Caenorhabditis elegans: one gene and its partner. The protein of the gene in region 1 purifies or fractionates together with the protein of each later gene. This does not show direct contact. Each region holds a gene or a part of one and is shown on either strand. Other genes may lie near its edges.

The links. The genes of interacting proteins can lie anywhere in the genome.
Region 2: the proteins of fecl-1 (region 1) and cyp-42A1 fractionate together in Caenorhabditis elegans (co-fractionation; one large-scale study listed by BioGRID). This does not show direct contact.

The regions. Positions count from the first base shown.
Region 1 is NC_003279.8:7,148,060-7,154,363, forward strand, and holds fecl-1 (FErroChelatase-Like), read right to left. Parts: upstream 3,786-6,304; 5' UTR 3,757-3,785; coding exon 3,712-3,756; intron 3,655-3,711; coding exon 3,497-3,654; intron 3,454-3,496; coding exon 3,238-3,453; intron 3,188-3,237; coding exon 3,081-3,187; intron 3,035-3,080; coding exon 2,919-3,034; intron 2,873-2,918; coding exon 2,549-2,872; intron 2,145-2,548; coding exon 1,986-2,144; 3' UTR 1,881-1,985; downstream 1-1,880. Other genes in the region: crml-1 (CARMIL pleckstrin homology domain-containing protein), read right to left, coding at 4,852-5,020, 5,105-6,304.
Region 2 is NC_003283.11:18,909,519-18,919,538, reverse strand, and holds cyp-42A1 (Cytochrome P450 4V2), read right to left. Parts: upstream 7,504-10,020; 5' UTR 7,498-7,503; coding exon 7,130-7,497; intron 6,026-7,129; coding exon 5,659-6,025; intron 5,237-5,658; coding exon 5,032-5,236; intron 3,466-5,031; coding exon 3,055-3,465; intron 1,891-3,054; coding exon 1,706-1,890; 3' UTR 1,422-1,705; downstream 1-1,421. Other genes in the region: ptr-22 (SSD domain-containing protein), read left to right, coding at 1-27, 79-220.

The DNA.
Region 1 (6,304 bases):
GAAACGTAGTGTGTTATCTTGTCGCGTGCGAAACGACAGAATGATGATACGAGAAGACGAGTTTTGTTGCAAACCAAATTTGTTTGAACAGCTTTCAAGCGAACTAATTTTTAAAAAATGATGAAAATTAATTGGAAATTTTTTTTTGTTTTAAATTAAGAGAATTGAAATGCGCTCTATCGAAGAGGCGCACCATTGTTGGGAGATGCAAATTTTGTGGAAATGAGCTACCGCTCGACTTGCAACGAAAATAACAAAGAAAACGTTTTAAATCTTTAAGACGTGCCCAACATTGCCTAAATCAAAGTTTCTCAGTGTTTTTTGTTCTAATGTTAAATAAAAAAGGTTGAATTTATGAAATAGGATTATTTTTCAAGTTGTAGTTTGAAAATCAATTTCCATGCAATTAACATTTCAAATGCAGCACAGCTCTCAATAATTTGCCTTTTTAAAAACATTAACATGTAAGATTCTTTAAAATTTCAAGGACAAAAAAATAAGAAAAAGCACAAACGGAAGGACCAAGAGCGATTCGCAACAATTTATTGAGTTTGGAGTGCACTAAAAAGTCTTTGGGTAGTCTCGAAACCTATTCCCGCACACAATTTTCTTCATGTTCTCGCCTTGAACGTTCCAGTCCAGTGAACACAATATTGAACGAGTAGGCGAAATCGAAGTTCCCTTATCAGAACGTTCTCTGACCTAATCATGCATTTGCCAGTTGCAAATGGGCATATAAAAACGAAATATTTGACTTGCGAAGTTAAGAGATAAACGTGTAGTTACATAAATTTGGCGCCAATGGGCATAAGAATATTATTCAATTTAAAATTCTCCATTATTAAAATGTATATTCAACATGGCACACGCGGGGCGCGTGCGCCGCCCGTGTCCTTGTTCCGTTTTTTTAGTTGGAACGGCTCGCGCCCAAGCAGGGAGTATTTGCTCAAACGGAAGCAGCACTCTTCCCGGCAAAGCTCTCTTCGGGATCTCACAGTGATAATTGACGCGGGAAACAGAGAAGAGACTGCAGCAGTGGGAATGGAAATATGGGAGAGAGGAGAGATCAAGGTTGTTGCAGGGAGCACTGAATTTTTTGCGAACGTGCAAACTTGAACCGAGCGCAAACTTTATCAGCAGTTGACAGTTTAAATGATTGGTACATCTTTTCAAGGATACTCGAGTACCCCAAAAGCCGGCTTTTGGAAAATTTTTCACAGATTTTCCCAAATGTCATAAATAGAGATTTGACAAATATTGTCTTTTTGCAAAAGGATTATGATTTGTTAGTCTCTAAAACAAGAAATGTATAGTTATTTCAGATAGTTGAAGAAATGTGAATAACATTTCAAGATCTACTCGATGTGATCTTCAATTGAATTGGAAAATGACAGTACTACAGCTTCAAAACTCATGGGTCGCAGGAAATAAGAACAATTAATACTTGGGAACACATTGGGACACCCATTAGATAACAATTGACAAGATTTCGGCCTGAATGGTCAACTACTGGCCGGCACTGGTCTAGTTAGAGTGGTATGCAGAGAATGGGAGAATGGCCGCCATCGGGCCGAAACAGCCGTCGCCTATGAGAGAGCCCCACTCATCACAGAGACCGCCAAGAAAAGAGACGGACGACGAAATAGTATGGTGACGTAGACACATGTCGAGTCAGTTGTTAAGGCGGTGGAGGGTGTTAGAAGAGCAGAGAAGAGACACACTACGCGTCAGTAGATGTGAAGGAGGGTATTTAGGATTGTGTATGTTTCGAATCAGAACTGCCATACGTATGGTAATTTCAGTGTAGGATTTCAATGATGTCATATATTATTTACAGTATACTTTGAACTTTAATTTGTTATGGATAGGAAACATAATTTAAATAAAAACAATTTCATTTTGGTCTATAAGAACCTAAACTATTGGTAATGTGGCAATTTCTCTAGAAATAATAATTTTACACACGTTTAATCGTTTCGAAAGATTCAATGCAAAAATATGTTGAGATTCTGCAACTGTCTCGTTGAGCAGGCCACTTCCAATTGTTGATCCTTCCGTCCGAGCAATAGATTTTTGACGATCTCCGATATTCCATGTGTCAGATGATCGGATTCATAATCGGGTCGAAGGACTAGTGCGTTTTTCTATTTAAAAAAAAGTTGATATTGCATTTTAAAAACATAATTTTTCATATTACGTAGACGTCTAAAGACGATAATTTTTGCCTTATTTTACGCGGATGGTCTCGCCACGCACACATCGAGTTACAGAAACTCGTGTTCATCGCTTTTGTATCGTAAATTTATTCAAAAAAGCTTGGCAGTATTTCTTTTTTTTTTTAAGATACAATAGCGGCCAATAAAGCGATACGAGTTACAGTAACCCGATGAAAATGTTCATTTTTAGACGTCTAAGTAGTATTTTTTTTAATCTTAAAGGGTTTTGCCGAGAAAAAAATTGTTGATTTTTTTAAACACAAAACGTCTATATATAGATGTGTATTGTTTCTGACAATTTTCCATTTGGAATTTGTTAAATTAAAACTTACCAAGTGTTCAACCTTTTTTGGTAATGTATAAAGTGTGTTGAAAGTTTCGATAACATCTGTAATTGGTACAACGGCCACTTTTCCAGATTCTGATGTTTTCCTAATTTTCTGCACTTGAGAGGCAACACCCTGCATAGATGGAAGATCGAATGAATCCCAAGAGGAATAGAATCCAAGTCGCCATGGAATCAGATCACCAAGCTGATTCATGGTTCGTTCACAAGACGCAAAAACTGGTCCGTAATTGCAGGTAAACTTTCGAGGAGCTGCGAAAACAACACCATCCAATTTCGGAAGGACTTCCTTGATTTTCGACGACCAATACTAAAATATTTGAATTAACATGAAGACAATTTCGTGCAATTCTTACATCTGCCAGAATTGGATGATTATTCCATCGCCAAATTGCAGATACATCATAGGAATAATCCGAATTTTGTTCAATTCTACTGCTTGTGATATTTTTGTTTCCCTGGACCAATGGAGCTAAATTAAGTAGAATATATAGAAAGTATTAAAAAAAAAAACTCACATGAAGTCTGTTCAATAATTTTAGCGGATTTGACGAGAAGAGTTTCACTATCTATTGCAGAGAAGTGTGGGTAGAGTGGCATGAAGATGTAATGCTGGGATCGATGTCTGAAAGTTTCGATGTTTATTACCAAAATAAGCATTTTCAATAAATTTACGATTTAATCTCTTTTAGTTGATCCTCAAATGATACTTCGTCAAATTGAAACAAACGGGATACTTTGAATGGACCATGCTCTGGTACTACAGTGTCCAATGATTCTTCAATCTTCTTGCCTAGTCTATCAACCTGCGACTCTAAGCTCGGAACATTTTTATAAGCAGCAATGCATCCTTTCAAATTCTCATTTTTCAGTTTGCCGTTGGCGATTAGTCTGAAATACAAGTTTCAGATTTTTAAGTGGATGATTGACTAACGTGTGTACGAAATTTGGCATTCGAAGTCTCATCGATTGCGCGGATTGATTTTTAAGAAATTCCTTGGCATGAAATTCGTTCCATGGCTGACCAGCATGAAGTAGAATTATCTCGGTTTGTGGTGATCGAGCTGGATCTGCGGAAAAGTGTGATCGAGCCTGAAATGTTAAACGATGCTCTTTAAAAGAAATAAAATATTAAAAATATATTCTCACCGCGACGCGGATCACATTTTGATTCCTTGAAAGCATCTTATTCATAACAAAGATTCGAATTAAATAGGCATTCTGAATAAAGTTTATTAATTGAAAGAAGAAGTTTGCAGAAAAAATGAAAAACCCCCATGAGATTGAAAAGTTGAGTGAGATGCAGACGCAGAGAAAGAAAGTAAAACAGTGGCCGTCCATTTCGTTTCGACAAGACTTTTTCAATTTAGCTGATGATTTAATGAACTTGATATAAAAACACAATTAAAAAAAAAACGAAATATTGTCAATCGACAGTAATATTTGATTTTTCCAGAAGCTTTTATCTAAAATACAGAATTACTCATTTAATTTCTAAATTTCTTTTAAATCGACAGTTTTTCTTTCCATTACTCAATTTCAATTTCCCACTTGCATCTGCTTCTTCACCATTTCTTTTCTCATTGGCCAATTCATTGCCTGCTTCAATTTTCACTTCATTCATCAGGCTCATTTTGAAAGAATTCTTTGGTCGCGCCCCTTTTTTCTTTGTTCCGCAAAGAAATTAAATTTTTATTCGTGTTGCTCAGATTTTGAGCTCATTCTTTCTTTAGTAGACAGTTAATTCTCGTAATAGCTCTGGGGTTTCCAAATATTTAAAAATACAGTGAAAGACTTTTCGCACTATTTTGATGGATTGCATTAAAATTTTTGGAAAGTATATTCTTCAAATCTTTCATTTTGAACAATTTAGAAGTCAAGAAATACAGAAACCACGTTTTGCATATAACAAAGAAGTGAACAGTTCCGATAAGAAAGAGACATGGAAATCAGAAATGCTGGAAGAGGAGGAGAAACCATAAGAATACTCGCAATGAATACATTAACATATATATGGAACATAAATGGTGAAAAAAAGAAGTATGCCAAAAAAATTCTAGTAAAGCTGTTAAAATACAGGAGAAATGGGACAAACACAGAAATTGAAAAATACAGTAACAATTGATGAGATTAAAAATTAGAGGAAGAATCGAGAACAGCTAAAAATATTTTCCTCAAATAAGAAAAATATCTAATTGAATAAATTTGTGACCACCAAAATATCCGTGAAATAAAAATTAGTCACAGGGAAGAGATAAATTACATCGTTGGGTAGAGCTAAAATCTCGATTATTTTTGGAAAATTCTAGCCATATCAGCCACAGAGCGACGACTATTTGCATTTTCATCATCATCTGCTGTAGGTGGAGGTGTAGTTGGAGACGTCATTCCAATCAAACGACTTCGAGGTTCTGGTTTAGGAGGAAGTAATGGGGGTGGAGCACCGCCAGGTCCAACTCTGAATACAAATTAAATATTATAATTAACCATAATTTTGAAATTTCAAAACAGTATAAATGTTGTTTTTACATATATTACGCACCTATTACGTTGAGGCAAAGGTGGTGGAGAATCCGAAGCACTTGATGACGTCATGATCTTACTGTTACTTGTTGTTGGAGAAGAAGCTTCACGTGGAGACAGTGAGAAGTCAGAAGAAGCAGAAAGAGTACGTTCAGCTGAAGGACGAAGATGCACTTGTGAAATGAGGGAACTATCTGGTATCATAGCAACACGAACACCAGTTGGAACTTTTCTTGGTTCTTGTTCAACTTCATCAACTTCTTCAATTAGATCAGCCAAATCTCCATTCTCTGGTCCTCCACTTGATTTACTTGTCATCATCACGTCTTCAGAAAGGGATGAATTTAGAATAGATGAAGCTCCTCCTCTTTTCCTTGGTCTTGCCTTTTGTAGATGTGATAGGACTGAAGGCTTTGGTGGCAAATCTAAATTGACTCCTTGCTCCGTAGAATCTCCAACTGTTTCGGAAGATGTTGTCGATGATGTCAGATCTCCAATTATACTTCTCGGACGATGTCCTGCCTGAGAACGTTTCGGAGTGAATGGAGATGACATTGCAGGTGATCCTGTCCCCACAGATGACGTTCTTCCAAGGCTGCATGCATCACCAGATCCTCCAATTGACATTTTGGACAGTTCAGATTCCACGTGTTCGCACATTTCCCTCCATTTCCATTCACTAAACACATGTTTCACTTGTTCTGTGCAAACTTCAGCAAGTCTAGCTGTTGCAAGTTGCTCTGCACGACGCGATGTTGCACTTAAATCACCTCCGATTGTTCTTGAAATGCTCTCAGAAATGATCCGACCGCCTTCCATTTGAAACTTTCCAACGAATTCTTCAATGATTTCAATCATTTTTGGTGGAAATGGTTCTTGTCCAAAAGCTGAAATTGAGTCAACAATGCTTCCAACAACCTCATCATTCGCTTTCTCCATTTTCTGTAGCACTCCCTCTGCGAACATTTTCTTGCAATTGGCTTCGTCGGCTCCGAGAGCTGTTCTATTCCGATACAAGCAGTTTTGAATCTGTGATAATGCTGCCACTGTCCTCGGTCGTTCTACACGCTGCATACAGTCAAATGCATCATGAACAGGATAAGGGAAATGAGTTAATGTGTGGTTCATCTTGATAGACGTTGCCAAATCGACAAAACCATCAGCACCAATATGATTATTGTCAATGGACACAGATCGAAGAGATACATTAACTTGTAGT
Region 2 (10,020 bases), on another chromosome or scaffold:
CTTCACAGAAATTTCCGGATTTTGCAGGTAACTTTCAGTCTTGAAATATTTCCCAACAAAAAATTCCAAAATTTTCAGACGAAAAAGTGTGAAAATTGCCGATTCGCCATCATCATCAATCGATAATTTGCCAAAAACTATAAGTATTCGAGATATTGGAAGTCAGAAAAAATATCAGAAGGATCATGAAAATAATAATAATAATATTGAGAAATTTTAGATTTTTTTTTTGGAAATTTGTATATATTTTTACATTGTTCGAAAATCATTGTACTGTACGGGTTTTAAATTGTCAAATAAAATTTAAATTATTCAAAATCATTTTGGGCGCTAAAAATCGAACATTTTTAAAGTTTTGAATTTTTCAAAGTTGTTCAAAAAAATTTTTTTTCTAACTTTTCTAAAAGTTCAAAAATCTATTGAAACTATATATTTTGTCATTTTTCATACAAAATTTGAATTTTACACACAATTTCCGTTATTTTGACACCCGTGTTGCCTATATTTAATGAAATTTAATTTTTGCCTATTTTTTGCCGGAAATATCGATTTTTGCTCAAACGAGGCCAATATTGGCAATATGGGGTTCAAATTAACGTAAAACACATGAAAAATGCAGAATCTGTAACTTTAGACGCTAAAAATCGATAATTTTCGAAGTTTTGAATTGTGAAAATTTTTGAAAAAAAAATTTTTCTTGAATTTTTTTTTCCTAATTTTTCTAAAAATTAAAAAATACACTAAAACTAGATTTTTGGGCATTTTTCATACAAAATTTGAGTTTTTCATAAAATTTCCGTTACAAAAAAAATTTCCCTCATTGCATAAATTTGATAAAATTTTATTGTTGACCATTTTTTGCCAGTCAGTTGCCGGAAATATCGATTTTTATCAAATTTCACTAAAAATTAACGGAAATAACATGAAAAATGCAAGATCTATAACCTTAGAAGCTGAAAATCGATAACTTTTAAAGTTTTGAATTTTGAAAATTTTTGAAACAAATTTTTTTTTTTTTGGAATTTTTTTTTTAAATTTTAAAAGTTTTAAAAATTCACTTAAACTTGTTTTTGGGCATTTTTCTTACAAAATTTGGGTTTTTTCATAAAATTTTCGTTATTTTGACACCCCTCCCCCCCCCCCCCTCATTAATTGCATACATTCGGTTGAAGTTCATTGCTGCCCATCACTTGCCGGACTGTTGCCGAATATGTCGATTTTTTTTCCAATTTAACCAGATATAGGCAATATGGGGTTCAAATTAACGGAAATCACATGAAAAATGCAGAACCTGTAACCTTAGATGCTAAAAATCAATAGTTATTGCAGTTTTGAATTTTGAAAAAATTTTGAATTTTTTTTCAAAATTTCAAAAAAAAATGTTTGTTTTACTTTTTTATTTACAAAACTAACAGTCAACTATTTGAATATGAAATATTTATTCAATTGCATTATATTTTATGTTAGATATATATCTTGAGTACAGGAAAAAAATAATATTTTGAATATCACAAATTAAAAAAAAACCGAGATCCTTGCCATAAATATTTTTTGATTATAAGAAAAAAAATAATAAAATGAAACATTTCAAAAAAATGAGCAAATCTTTAAAAAAAAATTCAAAATTCTGAAAAAAAATTCAAAAAAAAACATTTCTTTTAGGAATTTTTTTTTTCAAATTTTCAAAAAATCAATAATCTCAAAATTAATAAATGGATGTATAATCTCCAAATTCTCGTTTCTCGAATTTCAGCTCATTTCCATAAAGTGGTCGAATAATGAGCTCAGCTGCAACTCTCATTTCATCCGTCCTCAGCTTTGCCTTGACTTTCAGATTTTTTAGGATTATTGCTAGAATACACTTTTCCTCCATCATTGCAAATCTCATTCCTGAAATTAAAATTTATTGATTTTTTTGGGAAAATTTTTTTTGATAAAAAAAATTTTGCCATTTTTTCCGGAATTATTGATTTTTCTCAAATTTACAGCACATAGACAATTTCGGAGTCAAATTAACAGAAATTACAAGAAAAATTCAAAATGTGATGCTAAAAATCAATAATTTTTGAAATTTCGACTTTTGAAAATTTTTGAAAAAAAGACAATTTTTGAATTTTTTCTAATTTTTCTAAAAATTCAAAAATGAACTAAAACTATACGAAATTTGAATTTGAGACACGATTTCCGTCATTTTGACCGCCATACTGCCTATATTTGGTGAAATTTCATTACTGCTCATCACTTGCCGGTCTCTTGCCGGTCTCTTGCCGAAAAAATCGTTTTTTCTCAAAATTGTATAGGGAATATGAGTGTTAAATAAACAGAAATTACATGGAAAATGAAGAATCTTCAATTTTAGACGCTAAAAATCGATAGTTTTTGAAATTTTGAATTTTGAAAATTTTTGAAAAAAAAAACAATTTTTTGGAATTTTTTTCCAATATTCCTAAAAATTCAAAAAATACTAAAACTTGATTTTTGAGCATTTTCTGCTCCAGTATTGCACATTTACAAAAGATCTAAATAATTTGAGCCCCATATCGGCCATGGAAAAAACCGGCAAAATTTGGTAAAAATTTCCAAAAAAATAAGTTTAAAAAAAATGTAGGCTATATTAGTGTTACATTGACGGAAACCGTGTGTAAAAAAATGTGAAAAATACCAAAAATCTAGTTTTGGTGCATTTCTTGAATTTTTAAAATTTTGAAAAAAAAAATCAAAAAAAAAATTTTTTTGTCAAAAATTATCGGTTTCAGCATCTAATTCTAAATTTTTCATGTTATTTCCGTTAATTTAACCCCCATATTGTCTATATTAGCTGAAATTTGAGAAAAGCCGATATTTCCGGCAACAGACCGGCAAAAGATGGGCAAACATGGAATTTCACCAAAAATAGGCAATATGGGTGTTAAATCAATGGAATTTGCGTAAGAAATTTGAAAATTGACATTAAAACTGCTGAAAATTGTTGGAATTTGAGAAATTCTGAAGATTTTCAAAAAATAAATTTCAAAAAAAAAAAAAAATTTTTTTTTTAATTTTTTAAAAACTCACCAATACAATTTCTGGATCCCGCACTAAATGGAATATAAGCATATGGATGTTTCAGCTCTCCCGTAATAAATCTTTCCGGATTGAAAATCTCCGGATCATCCCAATATCTAGGGTCCTTATGTACCATTGATGGTACCATAACAACAGCAGTTCCAGATGGAAGTGTATGTCCACGTACTTGAATATCTTCAACACATTGTCTTGCAATTAATGGTACTGATGGATATAATCTCAGAGTTTCTTTGAAACAGGCTTCCAAATATTTCAGTTTTCCCAAATCCTCGTAGCTGACTGGCCGATCGGCTTCTCCCAAAACTTCGTCGATTTCTTTTTGAACTTTTGATTGGATTTCTGGATTTGCTCCCATTAAGTGGAGGAACCAATTCATTGCGGCTGATGTTGTGTCGTGGCCTGGAAAAAATTACAAAACTTTAAAATTTTAGAAACTCAAAAAATTTTTAATTTTTTAAAAATTGCCATTAGAGCGCATTTACGTTATTGAAAAATTATTATGTTTGAAATTTGCTAATTTTTAAATTATGAGCACATATTCAGCTCTACTTCAATTTTTAGAAAATCAAAAAATATTGAAAATTAGCCGAGATACTATAGTTTCAAAATTATTAATTTTTTCGAAAATTTTTCAAACTTGGATTTTATCATGATTTTTGAAACTGTCGTATTTTTTAAAATTTTTGAAATTTTTCAAATTTTCAAGTTGTAGCATATAGAAAAATATAACATCTACAATTTAAAATAAAATATGCTTTTATTTGCAAATTTTAAGGGTAGTAAATGCGCTCTAAAGACAACTTTTTGGAAGGTTTTGGTAAATTATCATTAGAGCCCATTTACGTCATTGAAAGGTTATTTTATTGAAAATTGGTTTCATTTTATATTTTGAGCACATAGTTTTCTGCATTTTGGTTTTTAGAGCATCAAAAAATATTGAAAATTCGCCGAGATACGGTAGTTTCCAATCTATTGATTTTTTCGAAAATTTCTCAAAAATTGATTTCTACCATGGTTTTTGAAACTGCCGTGTTTTTGCCAATATTATAAATTTTTTAAATTTTTAAGTTGTAGCGTGTAGAAACATATTACATCTACAATTTATAATAATATACGTATTAATATGCTAGTTTTCAAAAGTAGTAATTGCGCTCTAAAGACAAATTTTGGAAAATTTTGGTAAATTATTAATAGAGCGCATTTACGTCACTGAAAAGATATTTTAATTAAATTTTGTTAATGGTCAAATTATGAACACATAGTTAACCGCATTTCTGTTTTTAGAACATCAAAAAATATTAAAAACTAGCTGAGATACTGTAGTCTCAAAATTATTGATTTTTCTAAAATTTTACAAAAATTGATTTTTACCATAATTTTTGAAACTGTCGTATTTTTGTCAAATTTTTAATTTTTCAAATTTTCAAACTGTGGCATATAGAAAAATAGATGATCTACAATTTAAACACAACAACGCTTTTATTTGCTAATTTTTGAACGTAGTAAATGCGCTCCAAAGACAATTCTTGAAAAGTTTTGGCAAATTATGATTAGAGCGCATTTACTTTTTAGACAAATTTTTTTATTTGAAATTTGTAAAATTTTAAATTGGACCTATTATCAGCTGCATTTTAGTTTTTAGAGCATCAAAAAATATTGAAAATAAGCTGAGATACTGTAGTTTCAAAATTATTGGTTTTTTTTTCAAAAATTTCAAAAAATTAAAAATTTGCCAACTTTTTCCAAATTATCACATTTTAGCTAATTTCAAATATTTTTTTCAAAATTTCAAAATGCGTCTGGAAGAAAAATATGTCACCTTTAATTTGACAATATTCAATTTTTGAAAAACAAGTTTTTAAATGTGGTAAACGCGCTCCAATGCAAAACTGTAAAAATTTTACGAAGTATGATTTTTGGGCCAAATTTTTCAGATTTTCCAATAAAAATTTTAAAAAAACTGACCTTCAAATGTAAAAGTATCAACTTCTTCACAAATCCCTTCCATCGGAAGTTCTCCCTTCGAATTCATATCCAACATGAGATCTAGGAAAGCCATCCGCCTTCGTCCTTCAGCTGTTTCCTGAGCCAAAAGTTGCTCTACACCTCCAGCAGCATCTACCTTAGCTTTACGTGCGTATATGGCTTTTGAGGTGAATTCGTGGAGAATCTGGAAAACATTTTTGAAAAAAAAAATTGGAAAAGTTAGTTTCCAAGCTTGTATTAGCGGTATGAAACCCAAAAAATCTGAAATTTCAGATAGAAAAACCTATTTAAGCCTGCCCGGGGTCGAACCCAGGACCTATTTCCCCATAGGCGAACCTCTTACCCACTGCGCCACCACTCCCACTCCTCGGGGGCGCCTTTTGGCGTGCTCCCTTGCAGCATGGCGCAGTAGGTAAGAGGTTCGCCTTTGGAAAAATAGGTCACGGGTTCGACCCCCCGCTGGGGTATATAGCTTTTTCTAGGCGGGGAATTCAAATTTTCGGGTTTTAAATTATGAAAATTTAACTGGAAACTGGTTTTACTTCCAATCATTCATAGTTTTTGTCCATTTTTGACATTTCTAAACAATTTTATGATTAAAATCACCTTCACACACTCATCATGTTCTTTTCCAGGCCCGATCAAATTGAAAATAGTATCCGAAAAGTAGTGTGGGCGGAGTAACCTCTGGAATACGATATCCTTCATTTTGAAAACCGCATCCAAATATGGGGAATGTGGATCTTTTTGTGCATTTATAGATGTTCCTAAGGCAGCTTCACATATAACATCTAATGTGCACAGAGTTATAGTATGGAATACATCTGAATATTCTCCAGTTCCAGCTTGAGCTTCGAATTTTGAGAGTAGGGTCCTTCCGTGCCTGTTGTAGACTTCTACAAAATCTTTCAGAATGTCGTAGTGGAAGGTTGGAGTTAACAGTTTACGACGGGGACGCCATTTGTCTGGTTTTCTGGAATTTTTTTTTTGAAATTTTCCGAAAAAATGACTTAAATTCGATTTGAAACCCAAAAATACGAATTTCTCACCTAGAAAAACATATATACCCACCAGGGGTTCGAACCCGTGACCTATTTCCCCAAAGGCAAACCTCTTACCTACTGCGCCATGCCGCAAGGGAGCGCGCCGCATGGCGCCCTCGGGGAGAGGAAGGGGTGGCGCAGTGGGTAAGAGGCTCGCCTATAAGGAAACAGGTCGGGTTCAACCCCCGTTGTGGTATATAGGTTTTTCTATCTGAAATTTTTGATTTTTTGGGTTTCAAACCGCTGAAATAAGCTTGGAAACCAGTTTTTCCACAGAGTGTGTTATAGTTTGAATTCTTTGTATAAATTTTTTAAAAAAATGTTTGTTTCACATATTAAATTTCAAAATTGTTGAAAATCTCAAAAATTAATAAGTTATGATAGCTTGAAGTTTAGTAAAAATTAATAAAAGGAAAATTGTTGGGTCTTTTGACGGAAAGTTCTGAGGTTACTATTGTTCTGGAGTTTTTTTGGTGTCAAATTTTCAAAAGAAGAAGTTTCCATACCTGTTTCAATCAAAAAATTGTCCGAAAATGTCAAAAATAGGCAAAGTTATGAGTGATTTTAAGTAAAACCAGTTTCCAGAAAAATTTTCACAACTTAAAACCCAAAAATTCGAATTTCTCACCTAGAAAAACATAAATACCCCATCAGGGGTTCGAACCCGTGACCTATTTTTCCATTGGCGAGCCTTTTACCTACTGCGCCATGCTGCAAGTGAGCGCGCTACACTGCGCGCCCAGTAGTGTGCAAGGGGTGGCGCAGTGGGTAAGAGACTTGCTTATGGGGTAGTAGGCCCGGGGTTCGACCCCCGGGCGGCTGATATATGTTTTTCTAGCTGAAATTTCAGATTTTTCGGGTTCCAAACCGCTGAAATAAGATTGCAACCTAGTTTTTCCACATTTTTATGTATAACTTTGTCAGTTTTCGATATTTTTTGGCCATCTAAAAGCCAGTATGTCTAAAATTTTGTGTATTTTTTGGTAGCATTATTTCAAATCTACTCTGATCACAAAAAAAACCTTCAAACTTACGAGATTAGCAGCCCATCTCCAATCCAAGCACTCAAAAACCCGTACAAAAAAGGTTTGTTCAACATTTTAGGGGACCCAAGGATAGCTTCAACCTCATGTGCTCCATAAAGCAGCACAAAAGGTAGTCCTCCAAGCCAGACCCTTGTAATTCTCTCGTCTCCTTTTCTCATCATATAGGCGATTCCCTGAGATTGCTCGAAAAATTCCTCTGGTGAAAAGTGAAATTGATGGAAATTTCCGATAAGTGGAAGTGCGGCGGGTCCTTGGAAGACCGTAAGCTTGTTGTAAATGAATTTTGCTTTCCGGAATGCGAAATGGATTATCCAGGTGATAGTTAGGACTATCAGGGAGGCGGTTATTATACCCATGTTTCTGGAATTTCATTTTGGTATTTAAGGGTAAAGGAGTACAACAGAAAAACAGAACAAGTGTAAAACCAAGAAAAAAAGTGAAAAATCAATAATCTGGAAAAAAAATTAATTATTTGAAATTTTTTGAAATTAAAATTTTTTTTTTTAATTTTGCCGAATATTTTTTCAAAAAAAAAACATCTAATTTTTATACATTGAGAAATGTCCGGAATAAGTTGAATTGGTAAAAAAAATTTTTCTAATATTAGTAAAACAATTTTGAGAAAAATTGAAAAAAAAATTCGACCAAAAATTTTTTTTCGAAAAAAATTTAAAAAATCGACAATACTTCCAAAAAAAAATTCAAACGTATATTAATAGAAAATATTATCAAAATTGAAACAAAATTAGAAGTAAAAACACAAATTTACTGTAAAATCTGATAATTTTCGAAAAAAAAAATTTCGAAAAAAAAATTTTTTGTGGACTAAAACTTTTTCCTACAAGAAAAATAGATAAGTCTAAAATTTCCACAAAAATTGGTGAAATAAATGCTGACGGTACTATTATCATTCAAAAAGAGCAAGAGCAAAAAAGCCCTAAAAAGTTGAAAATGTGGAGAAAAATCGAAAAAAAGTTATTTTCGAAATTTTCAATTGAACAAAACTAAAAAAGACAAAACAAGTTTTAAATTAGATTCCAAAAAAAGGTATACCAAAATCAAAACCGGAATGTTGAGGTCATCCTCACATGTTTGACAAGACAGTTACAATGAGGGAAATGGTAAGAGGAGGTAATTGGGTAGAAGAAATACATTTTAATGGATTGTTAGATAAAGGTTATATGTCTTGGGGTAACAAGTTTTTAGAAAACAAAACCAAAAATCTCAAAAAAAAAAATTTGGAAAAAAAATTTTTTGGATTTTTTTGGACTAAAATTTTTTTTCAAAAATATCGTCAAAAATACATTTATCTTGAATCAGTTTTAAATTGAATTCAGAAATAAAAAATAATAAATTTTTATTAAAAATTTGACCCAAATTTCTTAGAACTACGGTAGTTTGAACATTTTTGAGGGGAAAAAATTCAAAAAAAAATTTAAAAATAAAGAAATTTTTTTTTTCAAAAACGTGGCAGTATTATATTTATTTCGAAGTTCAATTTTACACTAGTTTTGAAAATATACATAACACAAAATTTGGAGCATTATACGACAATTTTGTAAAAAAAAATTTCAAATTTCAAAATTTTCTCACATAAATATATTTATCTGAAAGCAAATTTTATACTGATTTCAAAAACATATTTTATAAAAAATTTGGACTAAAACTCAAAAAGTTATGTAAATTTGAAAAATTTCAGTTGGAAAAAAATTTGTAAAAAATTCAAACTTTTTGAAAATCGAAAAAAATTTTATTTTTTGATCAAAGTTTTTTACAAATGTGTTCTGTTGAAAGCTCTTTTCATGCTCATTTCAAAACTATAAAAATCTAAAAATTCGGCACAAAATTCAAAAAGTTACGTAAGTTTGAAAAGTCTCACTCAGAAAAACTTTTTGAAAAAATCGAAAAAAATTGCTTAAAATTTTTTACAACTATATTCAATTGGAAGCTGTTTTTATGCTTATTTCAAAAATTTAAAAATCTAAAAAATTGATCCAAAACTCGAAAAGTTACGCGAATTTGAAAAATCTCAGTTGGAAAAAAAATTTGGAAAATTTTCAAAAATTCTATTTTTTCAAAAAAAAAACCTTCCCAAAAAACAAAATGAATCAGATCATTGTTCAAGTACTTAATAATATAATAAAGTGTCCTTGGAGTAGTGTTCTGACCACTAAAAGATACAGAGAATCCTGAGAATAGACACTAATGATATGGTGCGATTGTGGAGAGATGAGAGACGCAGAGTGTCCGATCATTTGTACTTTTTTACTGATTCACATGGAAAAATAGTTGAAAAAGATGATACAGTGTTCAATTGGACTTTGGTACAATTATTTGAACTATTTGTATACCCTAAAACCGTTAGACCCTAGAAATCAGAGGCGCGTAACGGTTTTACGCTTGGTGGCCTTGCAAATAGGCGCTGATTAGAGGCTTAGGCTTAGGCTTAGATTTAAGCTTTAGCGTAGGCTTTGGCTTAAGCTTAGTCATAGGCTTAAGCTTTGGGCTAGGTTTAGGTATAGGCTTAGGCTTAGTCTTAGGCTTAGGCTTAGGCTTAGGCTTAGTCTTAAGCTTAGGCTTAGGTTTACGCTTAGGCTTAGGTTTAGGCTTAGTCTTAGGCTTTGGCTTAAGCTAAGGCTTAGGCTTACAGTTAGGCTCAGGCTTAGGCTTAGGCTCAGGCTTTACCTTAGGCTTACGATTAGGCTTGAATTTTTTTTAGAAAAATTTTTTTGGGTCAAACCTTTAGTTAGTTTAAAGTAACGTAACTGAGCGAGTTTTAAGCTTCATTTGATAATTTTTAACTTCATAAAATTATCATATCAAAAGCTTAGGATTGAATATATTTTTTGTTCCGACTTTTTCAAAAAAAAAATTCAACT